7 linked regions of the Sus scrofa genome follow. The protein of the gene in region 2 purifies or fractionates together with the protein of the main gene of each other region. This does not show direct contact. Links are inferred from orthologs where the notes say so. Each region holds a gene or a part of one and is shown on either strand. Other genes may lie near its edges. The genes, in order: ANAPC4, DYRK1A, LZTS3, TRMT61B, LRCH3, SEC16A and RB1.

Evidence for each region.
Region 1: the proteins of DYRK1A (region 2) and ANAPC4 purify together in Homo sapiens (affinity purification with mass spectrometry; 3 studies listed by BioGRID and IntAct, with this or other methods). This does not show direct contact. The link is inferred for Sus scrofa from reciprocal best matches to the Homo sapiens genes DYRK1A and ANAPC4.
Region 3: the proteins of DYRK1A (region 2) and LZTS3 purify together in Homo sapiens (affinity purification with mass spectrometry; 3 studies listed by BioGRID and IntAct, with this or other methods). This does not show direct contact. The link is inferred for Sus scrofa from reciprocal best matches to the Homo sapiens genes DYRK1A and LZTS3.
Region 4: the proteins of DYRK1A (region 2) and TRMT61B purify together in Homo sapiens (affinity purification with mass spectrometry, with the first as the bait; 3 studies listed by BioGRID). This does not show direct contact. The link is inferred for Sus scrofa from reciprocal best matches to the Homo sapiens genes DYRK1A and TRMT61B.
Region 5: the proteins of DYRK1A (region 2) and LRCH3 purify together in Homo sapiens (affinity purification with mass spectrometry; 3 studies listed by BioGRID and IntAct, counting the BioPlex papers as one, with this or other methods). This does not show direct contact. The link is inferred for Sus scrofa from reciprocal best matches to the Homo sapiens genes DYRK1A and LRCH3.
Region 6: the proteins of DYRK1A (region 2) and SEC16A purify together in Homo sapiens (affinity purification with mass spectrometry, with the first as the bait; 3 studies listed by BioGRID). This does not show direct contact. The link is inferred for Sus scrofa from reciprocal best matches to the Homo sapiens genes DYRK1A and SEC16A.
Region 7: the proteins of DYRK1A (region 2) and RB1 purify together in Homo sapiens (affinity purification with mass spectrometry; 4 studies listed by BioGRID and IntAct, with this or other methods). This does not show direct contact. The link is inferred for Sus scrofa from reciprocal best matches to the Homo sapiens genes DYRK1A and RB1.

Annotation. Positions count from the first base shown.
Region 1 is NC_010450.4:19,335,753-19,339,252, forward strand, and holds part of ANAPC4 (anaphase-promoting complex subunit 4), read left to right. Parts: intron 1-242; coding exon 243-304; intron 305-384; coding exon 385-423; intron 424-522; coding exon 523-624; intron 625-1,388; coding exon 1,389-1,463; intron 1,464-2,730; coding exon 2,731-2,904; intron 2,905-3,500. UniProt on the Homo sapiens protein: Component of the anaphase promoting complex/cyclosome (APC/C), a cell cycle-regulated E3 ubiquitin ligase that controls progression through mitosis and the G1 phase of the cell cycle.
Region 2 is NC_010455.5:201,007,295-201,011,305, forward strand, and holds the start of DYRK1A (dual specificity tyrosine-phosphorylation-regulated kinase 1A), read left to right. Parts: upstream 1-1,211; 5' UTR 1,212-1,623; intron 1,624-2,924; exon of another isoform or gene 2,925-3,043; intron 3,044-3,309; exon of another isoform or gene 3,310-3,598; intron 3,599-4,011. UniProt on the Homo sapiens protein: Dual-specificity kinase which possesses both serine/threonine and tyrosine kinase activities. Exhibits a substrate preference for proline at position P+1 and arginine at position P-3.
Region 3 is NC_010459.5:32,506,093-32,510,311, forward strand, and holds the start of LZTS3 (leucine zipper putative tumor suppressor 3), read left to right. Parts: upstream 1-1,419; 5' UTR 1,420-2,737; intron 2,738-2,795; exon of another isoform or gene 2,796-4,219. UniProt on the Homo sapiens protein: May be involved in promoting the maturation of dendritic spines, probably via regulating SIPA1L1 levels at the postsynaptic density of synapses.
Region 4 is NC_010445.4:110,396,923-110,400,422, forward strand, and holds the end of TRMT61B (tRNA (adenine(58)-N(1))-methyltransferase, mitochondrial), read left to right. Parts: intron 1-475; coding exon 476-553; intron 554-636; coding exon 637-680; 3' UTR 681-938; coding exon of another isoform or gene 939-1,027; 3' UTR 1,028-3,350; downstream 3,351-3,500. Other genes in the region: SPDYA (speedy protein A), read right to left, coding at 939-1,027.
Region 5 is NC_010455.5:134,500,079-134,503,578, reverse strand, and holds part of LRCH3 (leucine-rich repeat and calponin homology domain-containing protein 3), read right to left. Parts: intron 1,192-3,500; coding exon 1,140-1,191; intron 769-1,139; coding exon 619-768; intron 1-618. UniProt on the Homo sapiens protein: As part of the DISP complex, may regulate the association of septins with actin and thereby regulate the actin cytoskeleton.
Region 6 is NW_018084833.1:1,281,649-1,285,148, forward strand, and holds part of SEC16A (protein transport protein Sec16A), read left to right. Parts: intron 1-114; coding exon 115-220; intron 221-1,022; coding exon 1,023-1,163; intron 1,164-1,901; coding exon 1,902-2,015; intron 2,016-2,158; coding exon 2,159-2,351; intron 2,352-2,665; coding exon 2,666-2,890; intron 2,891-3,341; coding exon 3,342-3,421; intron 3,422-3,500. UniProt on the Homo sapiens protein: Acts as a molecular scaffold that plays a key role in the organization of the endoplasmic reticulum exit sites (ERES), also known as transitional endoplasmic reticulum (tER).
Region 7 is NC_010453.5:19,199,136-19,202,635, reverse strand, and holds part of RB1 (retinoblastoma-associated protein), read left to right. Parts: intron 1-1,248; coding exon of another isoform or gene 1,249-1,266; coding exon 1,267-1,394; intron 1,395-2,455; coding exon 2,456-2,601; intron 2,602-3,500. UniProt on the Homo sapiens protein: Tumor suppressor that is a key regulator of the G1/S transition of the cell cycle. The hypophosphorylated form binds transcription regulators of the E2F family, preventing transcription of E2F-responsive genes.

The sequences.
Region 1 (3,500 bases), on a different chromosome or scaffold from region 2:
TGCATTGCTGTGGCTCTGGTGTAGGCTGGTGGCTGCAACTCTGATTCAACCTCTAGCCTGGGAACTTCCATATGCTACACCTGCAGCCCTAAGAAGAAAAAAAAAGTTCCTTGCGTGAAGGTCAGGTGATACAGATGACTTGTTACTAGACTTAAACAGTGACAATCAGTCACTTTCTGTGGCATATTTATCTGTGTGTACATACATGCTTTAATTATATTTTTAAATCTTATTTTATTTAGGATGTAATTGGAAAATCAATGAATCAAGCAATATGTATTCCATTATATAGAGATGCTAGAAGGTAATTTTTTTTACCTTTTGGGTCATACAATTCAGTGGCCAATTGGAATTTTTCTTACCTTTTTTTCCCTTTTGTTTTAGTGAGGACTCCACACGGAGATTGTTCAAATTTCCTTTTCTGTAAGTGTGTGTTTCTCTCTTCCCTCGTGCGAACAATATGGGTTTGTTCTGTGCATTGATAGCTAAATATCATGTTTTGACATTAATTTTTCTCCTTAGGTGGAATAATAAAACTTCAAACCTACATTATCTTCTTTTTACTATTTTAGAAGATTCCCTTTATAAAATGTGCATCTTAAGGAGACATACTGATATTTCCCAGTAAGTATTAATCTGAATTTTGAATCAAAGAGATAAGATTTTGTTGTATTTAATAACAAAACATATAACTTCCCTTCCCTCCATTTAGTTAAGCTACCTTATGATTTTAGGCTTGTTAACGGTTCTTAGTCTTAGTTTTCACATTATTAAGGTGATAATGCCAAATTAAGAAGCTACGTGATTCCTTCTAGTTCTAGGTTATTTAATTTTGCCTTGGTGTATAGCTGTTGCATGTAGGCTGTTTTTAGGGCTAGAAAATAGAACACTCATGGTGACATCTCATGAACTTGTACATGTTCAAAACTCTATTTTGAGTCCCTTAAGGAAAGGATTTTTACCTCTGGTTAAGTATGGCTTTCATTAAACAAGAGACCTTCTTTTGAGAATCCAGATAAAAGTTCTGAAAGACAAATCATCTTCAGAATGTCCCTATTATCTTAAATGCTTTTAAATCTAAATTCGACAGAAATTTTTTGAAGCCAAGATGTAGCCAAAGAGAAATAATTTGGTTGTCTCAAACATCTTCATTTTATAAGGTGTCTTGCTGCTTTGGTGACTATGAGATTTTAAACCCAGTTGTAATTTTGATGTTAGGTTTAAATTAGGCATCGGGATTCTAGAGGGAGTGTCATGGTGTCTTGGCCTGGGATTTGGTGATTAGGTAAATGTACGAACACTGACAGTCATGTTCTTTCAGGCTTATTTAGATTATTGTCTCTCCATGTTGTCCTACAAAGTCTCTTTCTCCCCCTTCTTTCTTCAAGGTCTGTAAGTAATGGACTAATTGCTGTTAAATTTGGGAGCTTCACATATGCCACAACTGAAAAAGTGAGACGAAGGTAACTCCTGACTGTTGTTTGGATGCAGCGTGTGTATAGTAAATACAGTTACAGGAATAGGGTGAGACTCGGTTACAGTGATGATGTGCTTAGAAGGCCTTTGTCACTCACAACATAGGGGCCTGGGTTGGTAACATATTTTATCCTTAGAAGATGATTTGACTTAAAATCCAATAGAACCTTACTGCCCTACAGGAGTGTATGTAGCATGGTTTCCTGTAATTGATACCTCTGAGCTCTCTGTCTGCTGAGAGAGCAGTGTGGTTCAGGGGCAGGTGGCTGAAGTCTTCTTATGATCACCAGACATGTGAGGTGGTACCGTCACTGCCATGGGATTTTCTTAGGGTGCACAGGGTAACAATACCTGTGTCATCCCGAGGCTTTGCAAGACAAAGAACTGACACTAATCCTGAGCAGATGTTTCTGTCACTCTTAAAAGGAAGTTCTTTATGCTACTGTCTTTGAAGTTGTTGTGTCTTTTCATATGTAAATCTTATTTTTACTTTTCATTCTAGTTAAGTCTGTTTACTATGTGCATGCATGTGTGTGTGTGTGTGTGTGTGTGTGTTCATATAACATTCATGTCAAGAGTTTTCTGGAACTAACATGATGGAGGATAATATGAGAAAAAGAATGTGTGTGTCTGTGTGTGTGACTGTGTCCCTTTGCTGTACAGTAGAAAAATGACAGAACACTGTAAACCAACTATAATGGAAAAAATTAAAATCACTTAAAAAAAGTTTTCTGGGGAGTTCCCGTCGTGGCTCAGTGGTTAACAAATCTGACTAGGAACCAAAAGCTTGCTGGTTCAATCTCTGGCCTCACTTAGTGGGTTAAGGATCCGGCGTTGTTGCCATGAGCTGTGGTGTAGGTCGCAGGCGCGGCTCGGATCCCCGTGTCGCTGTGGCTGTGGTGTAGGCCGGCGGCTACAGCTCCGAAATGACCCCTAGCCTGGGAACCTCCACATGCTGTGTGTGTGGCCCTAAAAATACAAAAGACAATAAATAAATAAATAAGTTTTCTGGAAAGCCAACTTCGCAGGTTTTTCTTTTTTCATGATTACCCATTAATATTTGTAAATAATCAGTATAACGCATACCTGTGACTTTAGTGTAAACTAATGATATCTTTTAAATGTTACCGTGTGGAATGTGGCTTGATGTTTTTATTGTCGGTTTTTCTGCTTGGTACCAGTGCAATGTTATGTATACAGTATTTCCTCAGTTGTGATCTATCTTTGATATAACAAAACTTATTTTAATTCTAGCACCTACAGTTGTTTAGATGCACAGTTTTACGATGATGAAACGGTAACAGTAGTTCTTAAAGACACCGTAGGACGTGAAGGAAGAGATCGACTCCTGGTCCAGTTGCCATTGTCTGGGGTGTATAACAGCGAAGACTCTGCAGAATATCAGTTCACTGGGACTTACTCTACCAGGTAACTAACTCGTTAGTAAGATTGTCGTTCTGACAGAACGGTTCATTTTTTTTCAGTGTATATTGTACTTTCTAGTTCTTTAGGTATGATAGATAATAGTTGCTAGGGATGATCATAAAGTCAGCTGGGCAGAAATACTCCTTTTAATTGAAAAAATACTGATTTCAGCAGTACTTCTGTCCTTTTGCTTTATTAGTAAATCAAGAATTACTTGCTTACACAAGGTAAGGGATTATTTGGGGTGGACAATGGAACTTCTCTTTCACAGGTATCATTAACCCCAGTTTGTAGTAGAATTATTTTAGATTTTGCCTTTAGTATTTTCCTTTAAAATTTGGACCTCGGTAGCCACGTGGAGGGCCCATTGTCCATTCCAAGAGGTGGCTTTAGAGTGAAATTTAGGTAGGATTGCTTCTCTAATTTAAAATGTGTCTATTGGCTTTCCTTGAAAGTGCATCAAACACCTGACTAAGATTTCTGCTTTAATAAAATATTCTGCCTGTTTGGAAGTACAGTATTTTCACAGAATATAGTGTCACAGCATCTTTATACAGTAGCTGGTAGAGTTATGTTGGAACTGGGAATCTTGGCAGAAA
Region 2 (4,011 bases):
TTGCCTTTGGAATGGATTAGCAATGAGATCCTGCAGTGTAGCACTGGGAACTATGTCCAGTCACTTATGATGGAGCATGATAATGTGAGAAAATAGAATGTGTACATGTATGTGTAACTGGGTCACCATGCTGTACAGTAGAAAAAAATTATATTGGGGGAAATAATTCTTAAAAATAATAAAAATATATATTAAAAAAAACGGACTCAAATTTAACTTGGTGTTAAAGGTTGCAAATGCTTAAGGGTCCTGAGAGAAGTGAAACTGCCTGAACAGGATGGGGGTGGGGAGCAGGGAGAAGAGAAAGAAGCAGGAGGGAGGAGGTGGCAGTGTAAGCTGGGGAGCCGTCAAGATATCAGCCTCTTACCCCAGCAGGGACGCTTTTGGCCACTTCCTCCTGTTTAAGATGATGCAATGTAAATCCAGGTTGTAGTTAATTTAACAGAAAATAAACTGGAAATTAAACCACCACCCTAACTCCCCCCCACCAGAAAACAATCAAGTTGAATGTGGACTTTAATTACATTAGCAGGGCAATTTTGAAAGTCCAAAAAAACTCTTGATAGTCATGGCAGTTTGTGATACCATGAGAATCGGTCTAAGCTATTGGCCTACTTTTTGCCTAATTTATCTAAAGTTTAGTCTGTTTTCTTTCACGGTCTGTGCTAATTTCAATGGATGCCTTAGTAAATCAAGGTTCCAGTAGCCAGAGAAGAGAAACATTTATTGGAAACACTCGTGTCTTTCCTTGAGTCATAGAGGATTGAGCTCAGTATTTACTGTGGGGTTGTTTTTCTTTACTGGTATCTGCTGCTGCTTTACTTGTGAACAGTCCAAGCTTAAGACAAAATTGATACGAACACTATCATAAGATGGCAAAATCAAGCTTAGAAATCAATCAATAAATTAGGGACTTGGTGTAAAATAATATCCATAGTATCCTTTTTGGCAAAGATTAAATGCCATTTTACTAGGAATGGTACAAAATACAATTTTTAGCCAGTGGCTGTCTACTGATTACAAAGTAGCCAGTACAGCATGGCTACTTCCATACCTAGGTTTCAATGCCGAGAGAGAACACCTAGTAATATTCAGCCAGCCAGAGGGGTAGACAGAATAAAGATAAACGAAAGCGAGACTATTAATCAAGAATTGTGGGCGAATTAAAAATCTGGAAACTGAAATGGTGCATGAGAAAGAAAATCAGGGAGTTGGACAACGATACGGTATAGCCTAAGACGATTAATTTTAGGGGCATTCCGATGGAGAAGGAAGACTGCCTGAAAGGTGGGGAGGGGTTTGAAATCGGTGGGAAAGCCCGGCTGAGCATGCACAGCCTAAAAAAGTTTGTATGATGGCTCCGTCCATGATTTCTGAACGCTGGCACTGGCCGCAGCAAAAAGCCGAGTGACATGATTTAATCAAGGTGTCAGCCGCAGGGGCATCCCGGATTCGGGCGAAGCGTCCGGAATTCCTGAGATGTCTGAAACGCGGAGGCGGCCTCTTCCCCACCCCCCACCGCGGCCTCCGTGGGCATTTTCCGGCGAGGGGGGCACGCGGGGCCTTCCAAGAACAGTTTAAACGCGCGGACGTGCGCTGCCGGCGCGGTCCCCGGGGATGCAGGTGAGAGTCCCCAGCGCGGGCGCACCGGAGTGGGCTTCCTGGGTCCCCGCGCGGCCGCAGAGCCCGGCCCCCTCCCCCCGGCGCGGGCGGGGCTGCGGGCGCACGACGCGGAAGCGCGGGGCTCCGGGGGCGGCGGCGCGGAGGCCGCGCGCGCTCTCCGGGCCGCAGTCGGCGCGGGCGGCGCGGGCGCGGCGGGCGCGGGGCGGGGCGCGGCCGGGAGGCCCTGGGCGCTGGAGCACAGGCCGGCCGCCGCCTCGCCCCCCTTCCTCCGCCCTCTCCCTCCCTCGGCCCGGCCGTCCCCCTCCTCTCCCCTCCCCCGAGCGAATCACGCGCCCTCCTCTGACACTCGTAGCGGGCCTGAGCTCCGAATTTATCCTTCACGTGACCTGAGGGGGTTGGGTGGTTGGTTGGGGACGGAGGGGGAGAGGGAAAGGAGGGAACGGAATCTGCCGTTGCCCGAGCAACAGGCCCCGCCCGCCGGCTTGGGGCCGGGGGGCGGGAGGAGGACGTCAGCACGTCAGCCGGGGTTTTGCGTTTTGATTGACAGTTGCTATAGCGACCGGGTCGGTCCGTCGCCATTTTGTTGGTTGGTTTTTTTTTAAACCCTTTCGCTTCCCGCCCGAATAATAATAAAAAGCCCCATTGGAGTGAGGCGGGGGTGGCGGCGGCAAGAGCGGCGGGGGGATCCGGGGAGACTGCTGCCGTCGCTGCTGCTGATCGCGGCCCAGGTCGGGCTCAGGGAGCGGACACCCCGAGCGGGGGGTGCGGGCGCCGCCGCCGCCGCCGCTTCTGCTGCTGCTGTTCCTGCTGCTGCTGTTGGTGCCGCTGCCGCCGCCGGCGAGCGGGCGGGACCGGTGTGAGTGTGAGAGTGTGTGTGTGAGTGAGCGTGTGCGAGTGTGCGTGCGTGTGTGTGTGTGTGAGTGTGTGTGAGTGTCTGTCTGTCTGTGCGGGCGGTTCTGGCTCTCCTGGCGGAGGAGCCGCCGCCGCCGCCGCCGCCGCCGCTCGGGCCCCGGCGCTTCTCGCTGCGCAGGTTTGGAGCGCGCGCCATTTTGTGAGATTTACAAAATCCTCCTCGGGAAGAAGCCGCCGGGAGCAGCCGCGACTCGGCGCCCGGCCTCGCCGCCGCCGCCCTCCGCGCCGGGCCGGGCCGCGCGGCCCCGCCGCCGGGAGTCGGGGTCCGGGGACTGCGGTATTTGCCGGGGAGGGGGCTGTCGCCTCCCCGGCCCCGGGCGCCGCTGGAACCGCGAGCCGGAGAGAGACTGAGAAGGCTGCGGCTCGGCCGCGGAGCCGGGAGCGCCGGGGGCGGAGAGAGGCGGCCGGGGCGGCGCTGGCTGCGGAGGCCCCGGCGGGAGCGCAGCGGCGGGAGCCCAAGGCTGAGACTCACCGGAGGAAGCGGCGCGAGCGCCCCGCCATCGTCCCGGTGAGTGTCCGGCCTGGCCGCGGCCCCGCCCGGCCCTGCCCGGCGCCCGGCTCCCCCCGCGGCCTGCAGCCGGGCCCGCGCCGAGGCCGGCCGGGCGGAGGGAGGGACCTGCCATTTTAGGAGGAGGCGCCGCGGCCCGGGGCTGGCCGCCGGGGGAGGGAGCCCGACGGGCCCGGTCCCGGAGGAGAGGCGGGTGCGAGCGGAGGGAAAGTTGCCGAGGGTGGGAGCCGAGGCCGCGGCCTCCCGGGAGCCGGGGCCTGGGGGCCGGAGAAAGCGCCAGACCTTCACTGGTCGCCCGAGCGAAGGGGAGGAGGTTGTCTTCCTCCTCCTCCTCCTCTTCCTCCTCATCCTCTTCCCCCAGCTCCTCCCTCGTCCCTCCTCTCGGTCCCCACCAGTGTGGGAACGGCCGGGGTTCTCCGCAAGGACAATGCACGGGTTAAGAAAATGGGGCTGGCTGCTGGGCGAGGCGTCGGGGAAGGTCGGGCGCCCGGTCCCCGCGCGGCCCTTGGGGCGTGGGCTGGAGCCAGGGCCCTCGGCGTGCTCCGAAGTTGTGCCGTGAGTGCGAGGGAGCCCGGCCCCTGGACGTGGAGGAATGACCTGCTTAGCGGGCGGAGGAGTTGGTGGCTGAGGATGCGTAAATTGGGACGGATACCTGCATACTGCCACAAAACTTCGCAAGTCTGTTAATAGGCACAAACCCACTCCCGCTTAGACCCACCGGAGCTGCTGAACAGCTCAGCGCTCAGCCGAAGGCCCCTGCCGGGTCTGAAGTAGCTAAAAATGGCAGAATTAGTGAGTGACTCTGACTCCTTCCCTGTGCCTGCCGTCCAACCCTAGATGATAGGGCTGGATCTTGTAATCGAGGTGCAGTCCTTGAATGCCAGCACCACTCCGCCCAGGTTGTCCGAAAATCCACCTTATAGCATTGTTTTCACATTGATTTAAAGATGAGGAGGAAGCGTGCGAGG
Region 3 (4,219 bases), on a different chromosome or scaffold from region 2:
GTGGCTGTGGTGTAGGCGAGCAGCTGTAGCTCTGATTAGACCCCTAGCTTGGGAACCTCCACATGCCGTGGGTGCAGCCCTAAAAATACAAAAAGACCAAAAAAGAAAAAAAATTGGAAATTCCTGTTTGGCACATCATTTTAAGGATCCGGCATTGCCACAGCTATGGGACAGGCTGAAACTGTGGCTAGATCCCATCCCTGGCTGGGGAACATCCACATGCCAGCTGTATTTGTGGCCAAGGGGGAAAAAAAATTGAGATACTCTTTCAGAATGCAGAGAAAAGGGACAAAGAGATTTAATTGACAGTGATGATCCAATGTAATAATATTTTAGGGGAGGAAAAAAATCCAAACAATCTGTCAACAGAATGGACAGGAAAATAGAAAACATCTCAGCTGAAAATAATACCTTTTTTATTTCTGGATAAGTAATAGAAAAATGTCTATACTGAAACTTATACTGGCAATGTTTGACTTTTGAACGTAAAGAAAAATGCCAAGGGAGTTCCCATTGTGGCTCAGTGGTTAACGAATCCAACTAGGAACCATGAGGTTGCGGGTTCGATCCCTGGTCTTGCTCAGTGGGTTAAGGATCTGGTGTTGCCATGAGCTGTGGTGTAGGTTGCAGACGTGGCTCAGATCCCGAGTTGCTGTGGCTCTGGCGTAGGCCGGCAGCTCCGATTAGACCCCTGACCTGGGAACCTCCATATGCCGTAGGAGCGGCCCTAGAAAAGGCAAAAAGACCAAAAAAAAAAAAAAAAAAGAAAAATCCCAACAAGCATCAGGTGAACTACTTGTCGAACAGAGGCCAGCCCAGCTTTGCTACCTTTCCTGGGGGTGTTGGGTGAGCTATAATTGACAGATAACATTCTATTAGTTTCAGGTGTACTTGCTACCATCTTAAGAGCCAAAAGACAATGAGATAAGGATAAGAGAATCTTGAGAGGAAAAGTCTGAGATTGAAGAATTCTATTAACAGTGAAGCCACCATTTGTGTGTAGACACACAAATGTGTAAAGCCATTACAAAATTCTCATCTAGAGCAAAGACTTAGAAAAACATAACATCCTGGAGTTCTCCTTAAAAATCAGTCAAGTGAGGAGTTCTCACTGTGGTTCAGTGGGTTAAGAATTAGACTAGTATCCACAAAGATGTGGGTTCAATCCCTGGCCTTGCTCAGTGGGTTAGGGATACAGCATTGCCATGAGCTGGGTGTAGGTCACAGTCGATGCTTGGATCTGGTGTGGCTGTAGCGTATGCCAGCAGCTGGAGCTCCGGGTCTACCCTAGCCTGGGAACCTCCATATGCTGCAAGTTCGGCCCTAAGAAAAAAAAGTGTGAGGATATCAGGCCAAGAGATGGAAAGGTATAGGTATATTAAATTACTCATTATATAAGGAGGAACATAAAAATGAATGACTTATTGACTTTAATAATTTGTCAAATATAAACCGCATTTTTATTTGATAAACTATAAGGCAACAACCAGGAGAATTAAAAACAGATTTTCTGCCTTGCAAGTCACTATGGGAGATAAAAGCAAATATAGAAAAATTCAAAACACAGGCAATAGCCGCAAATTAAAACTATAAAATGAGATGACTAATGACAAAACGAATAAATCTGTAACAGTAAAGCTACAATGGGTTAAATACCAGCCCAAGTGGAGACGCTGCAGTTTTTCAGACAGACCCTTAGTGCCTCCAGGCTTTTCTTAATGCTGAACCCTAGGCGTGGCTTGCTTGCCTGCCCTAGTCAAGGCTAAGGCTTCAGTTCCAGACAGATTTCTTCCTCCCGGCAGTACTCCCAGGCCACCTGGGGGGGAATGAGCAGTCCTCTCTCATTCCCGGCAAGCGAAGCCGGTGCTCCGTATTGGAGCATCCCCCCAACTCCCTTTCACTGCGAGGGGCCGGGCATCGTGCCAGGTTCCGGCCACTGGGTGAAGCACTCAAACTCTCTGCTCGATTGTAATGTTATATCTTTTTCCCCGTCCCCCGCCTTTTCCTCCGGACTGTGATCCTTGGCGAGAAGCAAGTTTCAAGCCGGCTCCAATTGGGGACGGACGCAGTCACGGACCATCGAAGCCTTCTTTTCCCCTCAAACCTGCTTGTCCCGGCGCCGGAGCGGATATTCCTTGCGCCGTGTTGGTTCCACGCGCCACGGCTCGCCCCGCCCCCACCTTGCAGATTTGCAGGGTCTTACGGCGTCCGCTGGGAGGCCGCGCCCGGAAGAGCAGGAGCGGGGGCGAACTGGAGCTCGGGGCTTGGCGTCTAGAGTCCCTTTCCCAAGCCAGAGGGTTTCTCCTTGTCGCCAAAGAAGTGAGGTTCAGGGAAGGCGCTGTCCTACTGGATTTGTTGAAGAGGAGAGACTGGGGGCTGAGTCCAAGGGCCTTGGGGGTCAATAAGGTATCAGCAGGGAGTCTCGGTGCAGATTCGCGGAGCCCTAGGGTGGGTGAAATAGAGGGTCCCATACGCGGACCGGTATGCAGCGACGAAGGGGTTAAGGCATTTCGCCCCGCCTCAGACCGGGGATTGGCGGGCTCGGGGGGCGTGGCCGGAGGGCGGGCCCGCGTTTGCCGCAGCCACGGGTGGGCGGGGCCCGGGCGGGGAGCGGGAGGGGCGCGGAGCCGAGCCGGGCCCGCGCCTCGCGCCCCGCCGGGCGGGCTTCTGGCTGCGCCAGCGAGCGGGGCCGGTGGCGCCCGTGCTGAAGACCCCGCACCGGACCCTGAGGCAGCGAGTAAGTGAGGCAGGCCCTCCGCGGCGCTCCTTGCAGCTCCGACCTGTCGCTGTGCCCGCTGCACCGCGAGGCTCGTTGAGTCAGACCTGGAGCTGGGGAGGGGGTGCGTCCCACTGCTGGGGGTCCCCGGGGTGAGGGGAGTGGAGATGAGGCCGATGATGTCATGGATGCTTCGCAGGGCCTGGGGGATGGTGGCGGCCGGAGGGGGTGCGGCCCGGATTATGTCACCTCTTCCCTCTGCGCCCCGCCCCCCGGGCCACACGCGTTGGTGGGGAGCACCGGGAGGTGCCGGAGGGATTTCAACCACTGCAGAGACCCTTCCCCGGGCACCTCCTCGGGATGGCCTGGGGCCCTGGTCTCTGTTGGCTCTGCGGGCCGCGGGCTGCTGGTGAATGGCGTGCACCCCCCCACACCACCCCCCGTGCAGGAGGCTCGTGTGTGCGCGCGTGTGTCCTCGGGGTGTGTGTGGGGGCGCTGTCAGCCCCCTCAGTCCTGAAGCACGGGTTTCATCAGAGCCAGGATCTAAGGGATGGATCCCTTCCCCCTTTGTCGCCAAGGGAAGATGGATCTCCCTTCACACATCCCAACCAAGAAGTTCTGGAGACCTCTGCACCCTCAAAGCCCTACTGTGACCCCGATACCTTTTCTCCCTCAGTCCTTCCCAGAAGCCCTTCCTGATGTTCCCGTCCGGATTCATTGCCTCTTTGCATTGCTCATAACTGGCCTTCCCACATGCATTCTCTGCATCTCCTCAGTGCCAGGGCCTAAAGACCCCAACACTCTGTTGTCTGTTTCCCTGCGGGGGCACCCACAGTCCAGCCCTGGAGATGCCTCAGAATGAAATCTTGGAGTAGCCTGAGCCAAGTGCTTTAAGACCTCTTCCCGCAGGGGAGATCAGGAATGCTGTCCTGGGAGGCAGCATCTGGATTGGTCCTTGAAAGATGCAGAATGGGCACAGGGAGCTGAGAACAGATTTTGTGCATGGAGTGAGATGGGTTCAGGTCAGGGGACATAGGATGAGCAGCAGGAGAGGCCTTGGGGGCTCTGCTGCAAGCTCTACCTTGGTTCTGAGGGTTGAGAGGAATGCCAGGCATTTACCCATAATACATTCACTTCTTAACATTCCTGTAATGTAGGTGTGAGAATCTGAGGTGGAATAACCTGCATGCAGTTCCACCTCTAATCAGTTGAGCTGGGATTTACACTTGGAGCTGATGCCTCCATAACTCTGTCTACTGCACTTGGTGCTGTTCATGGAAGAATTCGGGCAGAGCAGGGACAACGGCTTTGCCCTTTAGAAAGTGTCCCTCAGCAGCTGCACAGGGGAGGGAGTGCAGAGGAAGAAATGTGAGTGAGAAGCCCCCAGCAAGGATGCTGGCAGGAGGGGCTGGTGAGATCTTTAGGGGTTGAGTGGGCTGAGCTTGGGGCCTCTGAGACCCCAAGAGAAGGGTGAGTGTTCCTAGCTTTAGGAGGGGCACAGAT
Region 4 (3,500 bases), on a different chromosome or scaffold from region 2:
CACTGAGCAAGGGCAGGGGTCGAACCCACAACCTCATGGTTCCTGACAGGAACCATGACAGGAACTCCTAAAGAATGTTTTAAATTTAGATCAGTGATTATCACTGAATGGAAAGAATTTTAATAGGATGTGACATGTAAATAGCTAATATTCCAAAAAGCAGCTTCTAAGATGCTGGGGGAACTTTTCAAAGAACTAAGTTTAGGTCCTTGTTGTATGTACACATTATTTAGGCATTCAGACATTCATTGACTTATGATATGGGTTTATCCGTTTGACCATAAAAGCATACAGAAGTTTATCATGTAATCCTTAATCAAGTTTCTGTAAGATAACTTTCAGAGTAGCTCCAAAATAAGTACTTAAAAAAAGTCTGAAAGAAAAAAACTTCTCACAGTAATTTTTTTTAACAGTGTTGTGAACAAACTATAAAATATTTTATGTAGCTTACAACACATATTTTGTTCTATAACAGAAGAATCACCTTGTGATTTTCCCTATGGATCATTTCCCTATATTGCTAGACCTATACACTGGCAAACTGGTCATACGGGTGAGTAATGTTTTTCAGGCTGTATTATATGGTGTTTTCTCCCATTATTGTAATGACCTTACTTTTTTCTCTCCTTAAACTAGCCTTTCTTGTCAAGTTGAGGAAGTGCAAACCACAACTTAACTGAGTACCTCAGATGACAACTGATTTGAAGACAGATATATATTAAAATAAAACTTTATATTACAAATCACTACTTTTGTAGGTTGGTATTTTTAGCTATTACTATGATTTGTGTAACTTTTACATGTAATCTTGAAAAAGTAACAAAAGCTCAAGAAAGATGTGTAACATTTCAAAACTCCTTAAATGTCCCATTTTGACACTTGTCTTGCAGTTAGACATTTTGTAGTTAATGATTCCAAGTTGGTTTAGTTGAGCCATCTCATTCTTCACTTCCTGTAAACCACTCCATAGATTTGTCTTTCTTCATGAAATTAGTTTTCTTTTCTTTGTTTGATTGATGGTCATTGGCTACCAAAATAAAATATGCACTTTAAGATAAATTTTATGTACCTGTGTATTTTAAATACATATTTTAATGGCTTGTATGTATCTTAAAAAATAACAAATCTGGGTTATAGTAAATAATAGGGAGAAAATTGATAAGAATGATATAACTGTCTTAAAAATTATAACAAAAAAGTAACAATTCTTGAATCTTTTATTCTTCTCAGCCTCATTTTAACAATTTGAAAGAACATCAGAATTATTCTATTGTTATAGAAATTGAATGTTTGGAAAGATACACTTTATAAATATGAATTAAATAGGACTAGGGCTTATGAGTATTCATAGGCACCAGTTTAACATTTACCTTACATTGTTTTAAGAAGTTTATAATGTCTTTTCATTTAATATGTATAGCTCATCCTTAAGGTTATCCATGTTTTACAGATTAACAAAAGCTTATAGTTATTATTTAAATATAGATGTTTTACAGTTTTGAAGTAGTAGTACCTGGGAGGGTAAATGCTACTTACCCCTTAGACTAGGAGTATTTAAAATAATACATGTATTCTAACTAACACTGTACATATTTTTCACTATGTGGAAAAATTTCATCTAAAATCTCTGCCTTTTTACAGCTTATAGCATAGCTAGACATTAAATAACCACACAAATATAAAACTAAAACTGATTGAATCATAAGTAGGGTAGTCTTCTGGTACCATTCCTATAAAATATCTGAACACTCATACAACAATAATGGCTTTAAAATTTTCATGACATTTCTAGACATATAGAAGCTCTCACATTTTAAAATTCCATCATGGAATACTCCCCTTTCTTCTATTTAACTGCTAGTGAAATTCTGCCCTTCATTTATCTTTTTTGAATGCAGGCCCTGGAAAAGGGGTTGGCTGCAGAGCAAAGAAAGGTTGTGCCTTCTCCTATTTCACATAGAAAAGTTTGTGTTCAGTACACTGTGCTTTGTAGATGTTGCATTGAATAAAACCTAACAGTGTCCATTTCTAATACTGAGTTGAAAACCAAACTACATAGGCAAATAAACATTTATTTATATAGTTATCAAAGTCCAGGTTAAGCCCTTTATCCATCTCTCCACTGAATACTAAGCATGTTTACAATCTGGCTTGTGGGACAGATGCCTTCTTCTAAAGTTAACTTTCTATGTTCATGTCTGGCTCTCATTTACCATAATATAAACTCCAAGAGATCTGTGATTGAGTCAAAGCTGTATTCCCAGTAACTTCCAGAGGCACTGACTTTTTTTTTTTTTTTTTTTTTTTTTTTGTCTTTTAGGGCCACACCACACCCTCAGCACATGGAAGTTCCCAGGCTAGGGGTTAAATCAGAGCTGTTGCTGCCTGCCTATGCCACAGTCACAGCAACATGGGATCTGAGCCGCATCTGCAACCTATACCACAGCCCACAGCAATGCAGAATCCTTAACCCACTGATCAAAGCCAGGGATCAAACCTACAACCTCATGGATGCTAGTCAGGTTCGTTACCATTGTGCCACCATGGGAACTCCCAGAGAGCCTGACTTTTTCACTCAATAAATGGTCAGTAAAATTTACAATGGCTCAGAGTCTACACTGGATCAGATGTTGTTTCATCTGTTGACTTGGTTGTTCTAGGGGGAAATTTTAGTACATAGCTTGTGGATTTCTGGAAGACCTTGAGTTTGAACTTTATATGTCAGAGTCAGTAGGGAACTTCTGAAAGTTTCCATGATCATGTAAAAGGAGGTATTTTTTAAAAGTTAGTCTGTTGGTGGTATCTGAGTATTTAAAGGAAGGGAAAAACTATTAGATCAGAAACTTCATAGTAATACATAGTGTACAGCTATGAAGTGATTGGTAGTAATATACAACAAGGAGGTGTGGAAAGGGGGCAGATGTAAAAAAATATTGTGAAGGAAGGACCAGACAAGCTGATGGTTGATTGGATGGAGAGGGAGTGAAGCTATATATATTCAAACTTTCATCCACTGTTCAGAAGCCCTTTCCCTTGTTTCTCTGGGCAAAACAGGATTCAGTCAATGCCCAGCTCATAACTTACTTCCTTAGAGAAGACTTTACCATGTCTCTCACCCTACAGAATTAATTCTGTAATCTTTTGCATTGATCATATCATTAGCACTGCCCTTATCACATCATTAATTGATAAGCCCTGATTATATCTTCATTAAGGATTTTAAACTGGGATGACTGAAACAGTGATAATAACAAAAGTAAAGTTCAGAGAGGATTTCTTTTTAAGGAAAAATTATTTGATTTTAGATTATATAACAGTTGGAATGTCTCATGCCTGACTACATGACCCAAGACTAAGGTTTGATACGTTGCTTTTTTCCCTTGGCCTCACTCTAAAATCTGAGGAGTCCTCAGATAATACATACTTTCAGATGGACTAGCCTATGTGTCATAAGGCTTATGACAACATAAGGTAAAGAGAAACAATGTCATTTAGTTAGT
Region 5 (3,500 bases), about 67 Mb from region 2:
ATAATCCAAGGTAATTTCAGGGAAAAAAAAAAACAAAGTAATATAAGCAAAAAAGTAAGCTTGATTTAGAGGCAACTATAGAGGCTGTAAAATGTTTATAAAAGCAGTATTAACATGGGTTATTAACTGGGTAGGCGTGGAGAAAACAGAAAGGAAAGAATCAAAGATGACTGTAAAGTACTAAGCCTGTGAACCTTTCAAATTGTTGGTATTCACTAGAAATAAGAAAGTCAGAGACAGGTTCCGATAACAATAGTTTATACTTGCATGGTGCTTTACAGCTTACAAAGCACTTCCATTTTCATGATGCACTGGAGATTGAGAAAATGGCAGCTGGACAGTAAAGTGATATGTCTAATGACAGGTTGCTAATGAAGAGCAAGAGACTATCACTGTCCTAAAAGCAAGATCAATCACTTCTGATTGTCCTCAAGCCTATCTGCATACGAGGACATCTAATCCACAAGCAGGAGACAGTTATACTATTTAGTTAAGGTTTCTCAATTAAAACATCAACTTTTTTTTCACTAAGACAATAAAAACTGACAGCCTCAGCGAAACAAATAAGCACTTCCAAGAAACTTTAGGAATATTATTCATTGAATCTAAAGGACTCACCTTGACAAAGTCCAAGACGGCATCTCTCTGAATCTGCTTGGTCCTTATTTTCTCCTCCTCATACTGCAGGGCAGCAAGCTGTGCCTCTCTCCTAGTACGTTCTACTAACTGTTCTCTTCTTCGATGAAGTTCTAAGTCTGTATGTGAAAACTGGAACAAAAGTATCATTTTGCATATGCAAGTAGGGATAAAGAGCAGCTTATCAATGTTCTTTATCAATTTGGGAAATTACTGCTGACCCAAGCAACTTTTACTTCACAGTTATCTAGCATTTCTTTAGATGTGTTTACTGCTAATCTTTTCCTATAAAACCATCGTATCGGTAAAGACTTATTTTCTGTCTGGCACCTAAATCACTGTTAGCAAGTGTCAGGTGCACATATTATATGAATTGTATGACTGAGGAGTGAGAGAGTGAAATTAATAGATATTTGGCAATTAACTGTAATTTAAGTATTATAAAAGAAGAACACCATCTTAAAGAAAAAACCCTAAACTAAAACTGAAAAAAATATTTTTACCTGATTGTGACTTGGTGATAGTGACAAGAGAGAAGATGGCTCAACTGGAACCCTGACCCAAAAAAGATAAAAAGGAAAGAAAACACTCTGATAAGACAGATAAAAGACAAGTAGAATTTTATTGTTAATATAGCTCTCTATTAATCAGCAGGCAAACTGGTCAGCACTGAAAGGCCAGTTACGTTTTGTAAACTTGAGCCAAGGTCATTAAATTAAGCTAGGGGAACACCTGATGTCTCCAACTCACATTTCATCCTCAAGCTACAGACAGCTAACAACTGTCTATGTCAGCCAGCGCTGACAATACAGTTATTTGAGATCACTTTTCAAAGACTATCATTTCTCTATAGCACACAGAACTTTAATCTTCTTTACTATTATGACTGAAACAAGATACATGTAAATAGAGATGGTTTTATATACAAAGCCATTTTATCAACAGAAATCTGGAATACTATACAACCTGGTAACTGCGCCTGTAGGCACTCCTATTCCCATTTTAACTGAAGAGCAATTTTAATAACAAAAATAAAGATTTTGCTAATTTTTATCTTTAGAGAAAAATATGAAACCTGATTTTATTTTTTTTTTAAAAACAGTAAAACCTGCTACTCAGTTCTATCAGGTTATTTCCTATACTTCGGTGTTTATCTTTTTCCTGAATTGGATTTAGTTTTAAGCCTCTGTTACTCATCTGTGTCTTGTAAACTAATAATTTTGGAGCAATGACTTCTTGACATTTAGAACCTAAAATTTTTAACTATGATTATTAGCCTGTCAGGTTGATCTAAATGCATTAAATTAGTAAGTTATTAGGGAAATGAAAACAAATCCCTCAAAGATCCAGTGGTTTATTATTTTCTAATAACAATAATACAAATTCTTTAACCTGGTGTTCAGGACTCTCACTCCATTTAATAAATATATCCACTACGAAATCTTTTCTTTAGCAAGATCTCTTCAGTTACCATGTGTAAATTCCTTGCTTCAAACTTTTTCCAAAGACCCAACCGAGAGAGATCTTCCTGGAAAAGGTCTTTTTTATTTTATTATTTTTTATTTTTTTGCTTTGTTGGACCACACCCAAAGTATATAGAGGTTCCCAGACTAGGGGTCAAATTGGAACTACAGCAGCCGGCCTACACCACAGCCACAGCAATGCAGGATCTGAGCCGTGTCTGGGACCTACACCACAGCTCATGGCCATGCCAGATCCTTAATCCACTGAGCAGGGCCAGGGACTAAACCCAAAACCTCATCTAACTTCCTAGTCAGATTCATTTCCACTGTGCCACAATGGGAAATCCAAAAAGGTCTCGTTTAGAATTTTATTTTTCTGTAAAATTGGGACTTTTTCCCTTGATGTACACATGTAATCAATACTTGCATATATAAACTCACTTGTATCATTTTTTGAACAATATTTTTCAGAGGCACAAAGAAACTAACATTCCTTGAGCTATTACCATGTACTACATACACATACCCTGTAAATTACTTTATAAACATGCGTAGTATTTCTCAATTACCCTTTACAACAAGAGAAAACTATTATAACCCTTATTCTACAGTTGAAAAGCTGAGGCATGAAAGTTAAGTAACTTTCCCAAGGTGACAAAGCCAGCAAGTTATAGAGTTGAAGTTGAAATATCTATTTGATTTACCCTCCTCAACTACTAGGTGTGCAGCTATGTGAACTGGGAGAGACCTCAGAAATTGTGGAGTCCAAGCCACTAATTTTACAAATGAGAAAACCGAGGCTCTCAGAGGTTAAGTGATAGCTACTTACTGGCAGAGCCTGGATTAGAATTCAAGCTACTTGACTTGCAGTTTAGTGCTTTCTACTATACAACATTTCCCCACTCTACAGCCACAGAATCTAGGAAGGAAAAAGGGAAAGCACAGAGATTTAAAAATACGTGGGCATAGGAGTTCCTGTCGTGGCGCAGTGGTTAACAAATCTGACTAGGAACCATGAGGTTGCGGGTTCCCTGCCCTTATTCAGTGGGTTAACAATCTGGCGTTGCTGTGAGCTGTGGTGTAGGTCACAGACGTGGCTCGGATCCCGAGTTGCTGTGGCATAGGCCAGAGGCTACAGCTCCGATTCGACCCCTAGCCTGGGAACCTCCATATGCCGAGGGAGTGGCCCAAGAAATAGCAAAAAGACAAAAAAAAAAAAAAAAACATGGGTATACATTAAAAAAAAAAAATTACCTGAGATGGCAAAAACTAAGCTGTGAAAAGTTAAAGATGGAAGCAAAGGAAGAAGCAGGGCATATGAGAGAAAGAAAGTGGTAGTCAGGAAGACATTTCTGAACTGACAGTTGCCCCCAGCCAATCACCGGTGGTATGTTGGCCCAT
Region 6 (3,500 bases), on a different chromosome or scaffold from region 2:
GAAGGAAGTGGCCGCTCTGCTGGCTCCCCGGCCTCGGCGCGGGCGAGCAGGGCGCGCGGAATGTCAGCCCCTGCGTGACCTGCTCAGGGTCAAGGGACCCCGTCTCCTCCACAGTTTGCCGTTTTTCAAGTTTGCGACCAACGAAGCCATTCAGAGGACAGAGGCCTACGAGTACGCCCAGTCCCTGGGGACACAGGCCTGCTCCTTACCCAGCTTCCAGGTGGGTGGGGACCGCGGGGCGCCAGCTCCCAGGTGGGCCAGGGCTCTGTGCGGACCAGCTGCAGAGCCCGAGGCTGTGGTCTCTCCTAGAAAACGAGGCGGCGATTTTGGAAACCTCGAGGCGTTTGCTTTTGATACTCGAGAACTAAAGCCTGTTGAATTGAGTTTGAACTTTGGTTCTCAACATCTTGAACATTAGAAACATTTGGGGAGGAGTTCCCACCGTGGCGCAGCAGCAACGAATCCAACTAGGAACCGTGCGGTTGCGCTTCGCTCCCAGGCCTTGCTCAGTGGGTTGGGATCTGGAGCTGCGGTGGCTGTGGCGGAGGCCGGCAGCTGCAGCTCCAATTCAGCCCCTCGCCTGGGAACCTCCACGTGCCGCAGGCGCGGCCCTAAAAAGCAAAAATCCCCCAGAAAACACAAAAACATTTAGGGGAGTCCCTGTTGTGGCTGAATAGGTTAAGACCCCAACTAGTGTCCGTTAGGACGCAGGTTCCACCCCTGGCCTCGCTCAGTGGGTTAAGGATCCGGTGTTGCTGTGGCTGTGGTGGAGGCCGGCAGTTGTAGCTCCAGTCGGACCCCTAGCCTGGGAACCTCCATGTGCGCGGGTGCGGCCCTAAAAGCAAAAAAAAATAAGTAGCTCCAGGCACGAGCACTGGCATTGCTGTGGGCAGCGAGGGGGCGCCAGGAGAGACATGACGTGTTCAGAGCCGCGTCAGCCTGCAGGGTGGTCACGGGGCGAGGCGGGGCCCGGGAGGAGGCAGTGTCCCTGACTCGGTCCGTCCGTCCGTCCGTCCGCTCAGGTGTTCAAGTTCATCTACTCCTGCCGCCTGGCCGAGATGGGGCTGGCCACGCAGGCCTTCCATTACTGCGAGCTGATCGCCAAGAGCATCCTGGCGCAGCCCCACGGACACTCCCCGGTGCTGGTCAGCCAGCTGGTCCAGGTAACGCCAGCGACGTCAGAGCCGCGCTGACACTGCGGCGGGGGGGGGGGTCAGTGGGGGCTCGGGACAGACGTCATGACAGCACTGAGACAGTGTCCCCGCGGGCACATGCCAGCCGTGTCCCGGTGACACAGGGACCCACCTCCGGGGAGCGCGTCCCCGGCACCTCAGCCTGGCAGTTCCCGCGGGGGCCCCTGCTGCCCGGCAGCCCGGCTGTGGGTCCCGCTGGGCCCTCGCTCCGTGGGACAAGGCGGTGTGCCGGCCCCCAGCCTGGGGCCGCGGCCGTGGGGCCCTCCCCACCAGGACGCTCACTTTTGAGAGCGAGCTTGCGTGAGGCCAGAAAGAGCTTCCGTCATGGAGGGTGTTAGACACACACAAGACGCCAACGAGGACGGGTCCCCGTCACGGCCCCAGCTTTAGCCGTGAACTCGAGGCCTAGCTCGTCTCCCCCATGTCCCCCTCTCCTCAGCCCCTCAGGCCGCAGGGCGCTCGGGGTGGTCAGTGGAGGAAGGAGGCCGAGTGAGGCGGGCCCGCCCCCTTGGGTCCGGGTGCCCGGGCTTCAGGTGGCCGGTCCCGGGCCAGGCTCTTCCTGGGCCGTGTCACGGGAGCGCCTTTCAGAGACGCTTCCGCATCTTCCGTCTGCACCCCCAGCTTGGCTCTGCAGACTCCTTTGCTCTGGAGCAGCAGGTCCTAGAACCTTCCCGTGGGAACAGGCCTTCATCTCTCGTGTGTTTCCAGGTCGCCTCCCAGCTGCGCCTCTTTGACCCTCAGCTGAAAGAGAAGCCAGAGGAGGAGGCGCTGGCGGAACCCGCCTGGCTGGTGCGGCTGCAGCGCTTGGAGAAGCAGGCCAAGGTGCCAGCTGCTTCGCGGTGGGGCTCGACCTGCCCTCGTGCTGGGGCTGGTGGGGGAGGGAGAGGCTCTGGGGCCACCGAGGGGGGCGGGCGGGGCGCAGGGCGGCATCCGGAGGCAGGACGGCTGAGGTGTGTCTTCCGCAGGAGGGCACCGTGGCCTGGAGTCAGGACGGGGCCTTCCCGCAGTGCGGTCCCAGCTCACCCAGCTCCGAGGCGGGGCCCTGCGATGGTCCAGCAGTCGCCCAGCCAGCAGATCTGGGCACTGCCAACCCTCTGCTGGCACCCCCTGTGCCCGGTGCGGAGCACTTAAGCCAGGACGTGCGGCTGATGCCCTCCGGTGAGCCACTCCGGGTCCTGGCCGCTCTCAGGCCGCCCCCTCTCCGGTCCCTCCCGTGCTGCGTCCACTGGGTGTCAACGGCATCAGGGGTCGGGACGGGCCGGGGGTGGGAGGCCTCTCAGACCTGGAGGTGGAGGAGGGCAGGGGAGGCCTCAGTGCGGGCAGAGCCAGCCCCGGCTCAGAGGCTGCTGGGGGGTTGTGTCAGGGCCGCTCCGAGGCCCAGGGCCCCCCCGTCCCTCAGCGAAGGAAGGATGTCCGGCAGAAGCACCGGGCACTCGTGACCTCAGACCTGCTCTTGCTTTGTCTCCATGCAGCTCCGCTGTTGCTCCCCGAGGGCCCGCTGGCTGTCCCCGCCAAGGGGCCAGTGTTCCCGGTGCCGCCTGCCCTGGGCCCTGCTGAGCTGGGGCCTGGCTGCGGGCCCTCGGGCTGTGCACTGGGCTTTCCAGAGCCCCCGGGACCTGACCCTGCAGCTCTGTACCCAGGGCCCGGCCAGCCGCCTGCCGCACCGTCTCTCCAGGAGGCCCGCAGCCAGGACCCAGGTGGGTCCGCCCCGGGGCCGGCCTGAGCGCGGAGCTCTTCGGGTCTGGTGTCTGAGGCGGTGGCTGCGGGAAAAGACCTCGCTGCCTTGAACGTGGGGCACAGGGCGCTAAGCGTACGCCCAGCGTTCGGGACGTGACTTGAAGATGAGTGACCCGGCTTTTTGTGGGGCATGACGTGGGAGTGGGTGCCCAGGGCGTGGCCTTGAGGGGCCAGCCTGCAGCCCTTGAGGACACACAGGAGGCTGTGACCCTGCTCCCGGAAAGCGGCTCCTGACCCCGGGCTGCGCGGCTGACTGTCCGCTCGGCCAGCCTGGTGTTGGCAATGAAACTGTCTTCGCACACTTGGGGGCATCTGAGACGTGCGGGGGTGTGGAGGGCGGGCCGTGTGTGTCTCCGGTGCCGCCCGCTGCTCCGGGGGCCTGGCTCACACGGGTTCTCGCCTCCTCCACAGGAGGGACGCCGCAGGGGGCGCCCGGGAGAAGCGCGTTTCCAGAGCTGGAAGAGGATTCCGGTGGGACGTTCGCTGCCGTGGTACTTGCCCGTGTTTAGAAAGCTTCTTGTTTTCCTGCGCTCCCTCGCAGAAGTACTCAAGTTCTTTGCTCTTGAGTGT
Region 7 (3,500 bases), on a different chromosome or scaffold from region 2:
AAATAAGACCAGTTTGGAGACAATTGGAATAGTCCAAGTGAGAAATGTAAATGACTTGATCTAAGAAATGTTAGTAGAGAGAGAAAGAAGTGGACAGATCTGGGGTGTATTTTAGAGGAAGATTTAATAGAACTTTCTTTTGCATTGGCCTTGAAGATTGAGAAAAGGAAAGAAATTAAAAATAGCTCCTAGAGTGACTTAATAAACTGGATGTAATGTGGAGCCATTTTTTGAAATGGGAAAAATGGAGGGAAAATCAAGAATTCCATTTTGGCCTTCTCAAATCTGAAGTCTAGTAAGTAAGTGAATATTTTCACCCGGAATTCAAGGGAGATTAACTTCTACCCAAGTCAAGTCAGTCTACAGTATTGGTAGCGAATTGAGGAGAATTGCAAGTGTGACGGGAGACTAGATCCTGATCCTTAGACGGTCGTGATGGTGATTCCCCTTTCCTGCTGCACTAGGTAATGGATTGCCTGTGGTAGAAACGTCTGTAGTAAGGCGCACGTCTACTTCCTGCTCAGAATTACTTCTGTTACTAAAAAAAAAAATTTAGAAAGTAGATCTGGAGTTTCCCTCTAAAATAAATATAGCACAGAGCAGTAGAAAGTCAGAAGTTGAGAGAGAGTACTTCCTAATATCTCTGCCTTGATTTATGCCTGACATATTTAGTATACAGGTGTAAATCTGCTTTAATAATGCTATCTGAAATATTAGTCATGTAATTCTATACTAGGTAATTTAGGAAGGCATATGTGTGTGTAACTTAAGTCTTCTATATGTGGACCATAGTTATAAATGAAACATTTTTAAACAAAGAATCAGAGAAATTGATATTTTGATATCAATGGCTTATTATTTTAATTAGGAGTCATTTTACATCTATACACTATACACTATAATTATTAAAATCGAACATATAAACACATACAGCTGTGGTTTTCAATAAGGTAGGAATTCCCACTAGAAGCCATTTATTAAAATAAAATTAGAAATGATGACAAGCTTAGTTTTCCTATTAAGCTCCTTTTTCCAACTTATATTTAAGTAGGAATTTGGTGTAGAATAACAGATTAAATAGACAAGATGTGTTTGGATGCATGTCTACAGCCGTGTGTGTGTGTGTGTGTGTGTGTGTGTGTGTGTGTGTGTGTGTGTGTGTGTGTGTGTGAGAGAGAGAGAGAGACAGAAAGTGATGGAGATTCTTAGCAAACTTCAAATGAAGACTTTTCCTTTGAATATATCCAGGTATCTTTCTCCTTTAAGATCCCCCAAGAAAAAAGGGTCAACTACACGTGTAAATTCTACTGCAAATTCAGAGGCACAAGCAACCTCAACCTTCCAGACTCAGAAGCCACTGAAATCTACCTCCCTTTCACTCTTTTACAAAAAAGGTCAGTAGATGTTAACTTGAAGAGTATGGACTCTGAAACCAGGCTGACTAGATTCAAATCTTGGCACTTCTGCTTAGTAAGCATGACTTTGGAAAAGTCACTGAATGTCTTTGTGCCACAGTTTCCTCTTCCATAAGATGGAAATAATAATAATGTACCCTATGAGTTTTGAGGTAATTAAATGAATTAATACATAAAATACTTCCAACAGTGCCTTGCACATAGTAAGCACTCAGAAAGTGTTAGATGTTGTTATTGTTGCTATTGCTGCTATACTTTCAAGTTTATGTTTGGAAATATTTGCTGTTATCATGACTTTTGCTGTTCAGGTGTGTGAGTTGAGATTATACAGTGTGCTGTGGCCTGGTGCATTGCATTTCTGGGTGGCCCAGTGGCATGGCATTCTCAGTTTGCGTGTGGGTTGCGACGGGGCGGGGAGGTGATTTGGTGTCTGTTGGATGTGTATATACATGCAAGTGCATGCCCGCTTGGAGCTCTTTGAAGGAAGGTGAAAGGTCAGATTCCTCTGTGATAAACCTTTTTTTTTTCTGATTTTATTCAAGTCAGCAATATACTGAGCTTCATAGGCAAGATAGAGCAGTGTTTCCAAAGTGTTGTCCCCAACCAGCTGAATCCACCTCACCTGGTAAATTGTAGGAAGGATTTTTTTTTGGAGCCCCACCTTAGAATTACTCAATCAGAAACTCTAAGAAGAGGGAAAAGAATCCTTTTTGAATATTGATAGAATTTTCAACATTTTTTGTGATGAGGGATTACCAGTGGAACTGAAACAAACCCTCTTTGGGTCTGATTTCACAATATCTTAGGATCTTTCTTCTTCCACCTATGCCTCAGTTTTATGCTGTAATAATTTGCCTTCTATGTATATAGCATGGCACTAAGACTAGAAACCATTTATTCATAAGGGAAATAGTGGTAGAGATGAATTTAATGTTAAAATGCTGTTTAACAGCATTTTGATTATAGCAATTTCATGTTTTGAAAAAGTCCACTTGTGATAAGTCGAGAATAGATATGATTGATTCTCCTTATTTCTCCAGTGTACCGACTAGCATATCTTCGACTCAATACCCTGTGTGCACGCCTTCTGTCTGATCACCCAGAACTAGAGCATATCATCTGGACCCTTTTCCAGCACACACTGCAAAATGAGTGTGAACTCATGAGAGACAGGCATTTGGACCAGGTGAGAAAATTATGCACATCTTCTCTTCTCCCCCTTACTTGTTAGCTCTGTAACTGATTTCTTTTCCTTTTTTTTTTTTTTTTGGTCTTTTTTTGTCTTTTTGCCATTTCTTGGGCCGCTCCTGCGGCACATGGAGGTTCCCAGGTTAGGGGTCGAATCAGAGCTGTAGCCACCAGCCTATGCCACAGCCACAGCAACGTGGGATCCGAGCCGAGTCTTCGACCTACACCACAGCTCACGGCAATGCCGGATCCTTAACCCACTGAGCAAGGCCAGGGATTGAACCCCCAACCTCACGGTTCCTAGTCGGATTCGTTAACCACTGCGCCATGATGGGAACTCCTGCATGTGAATTTTAGGATCAGCTTGTCAATTTCTGCAAAGAAGCCAGCTGGAATTTTGATAGGGATTGCTTTTAATCCTAGATCAATTTAGTAGTACTGTTGTCTTAACATTGTCTTATAGTTCATGAACATGTAATGTCTTTCCATTCACTTAGATCTTGAATTTCTTTCAACAATGATTTATAGTTTTCAGAGTACAAGTCTTGCACTTTTTAAAAAAGGATTTTATTCCCTGTTAACTCTGTTGTAGACTTGTTTCCTCAGTTCTCTGTAAGATTTTTCATTACAAGTGTATAGAAATACAATTGATTTCTGTCTGTTGATCTTGTATCCTGCAACCTTGCTGAAGCCGTTTATCAGTTCTAATAGTTTTTTAGTGGATTCCTTAAGATTTTCAGTATATCAAATCCTATCATCTATGAATTGAGGTCATTTTACTGCTTCCTTTTAAATCTAGATGCCCTTTTATTTCATTTATTTGCCAAATTTTTCTGGCTAGACTCTCCAATACAGTGGTGAATAGAAGTGATGAGAGAGAGGATTTACTTATTTTGT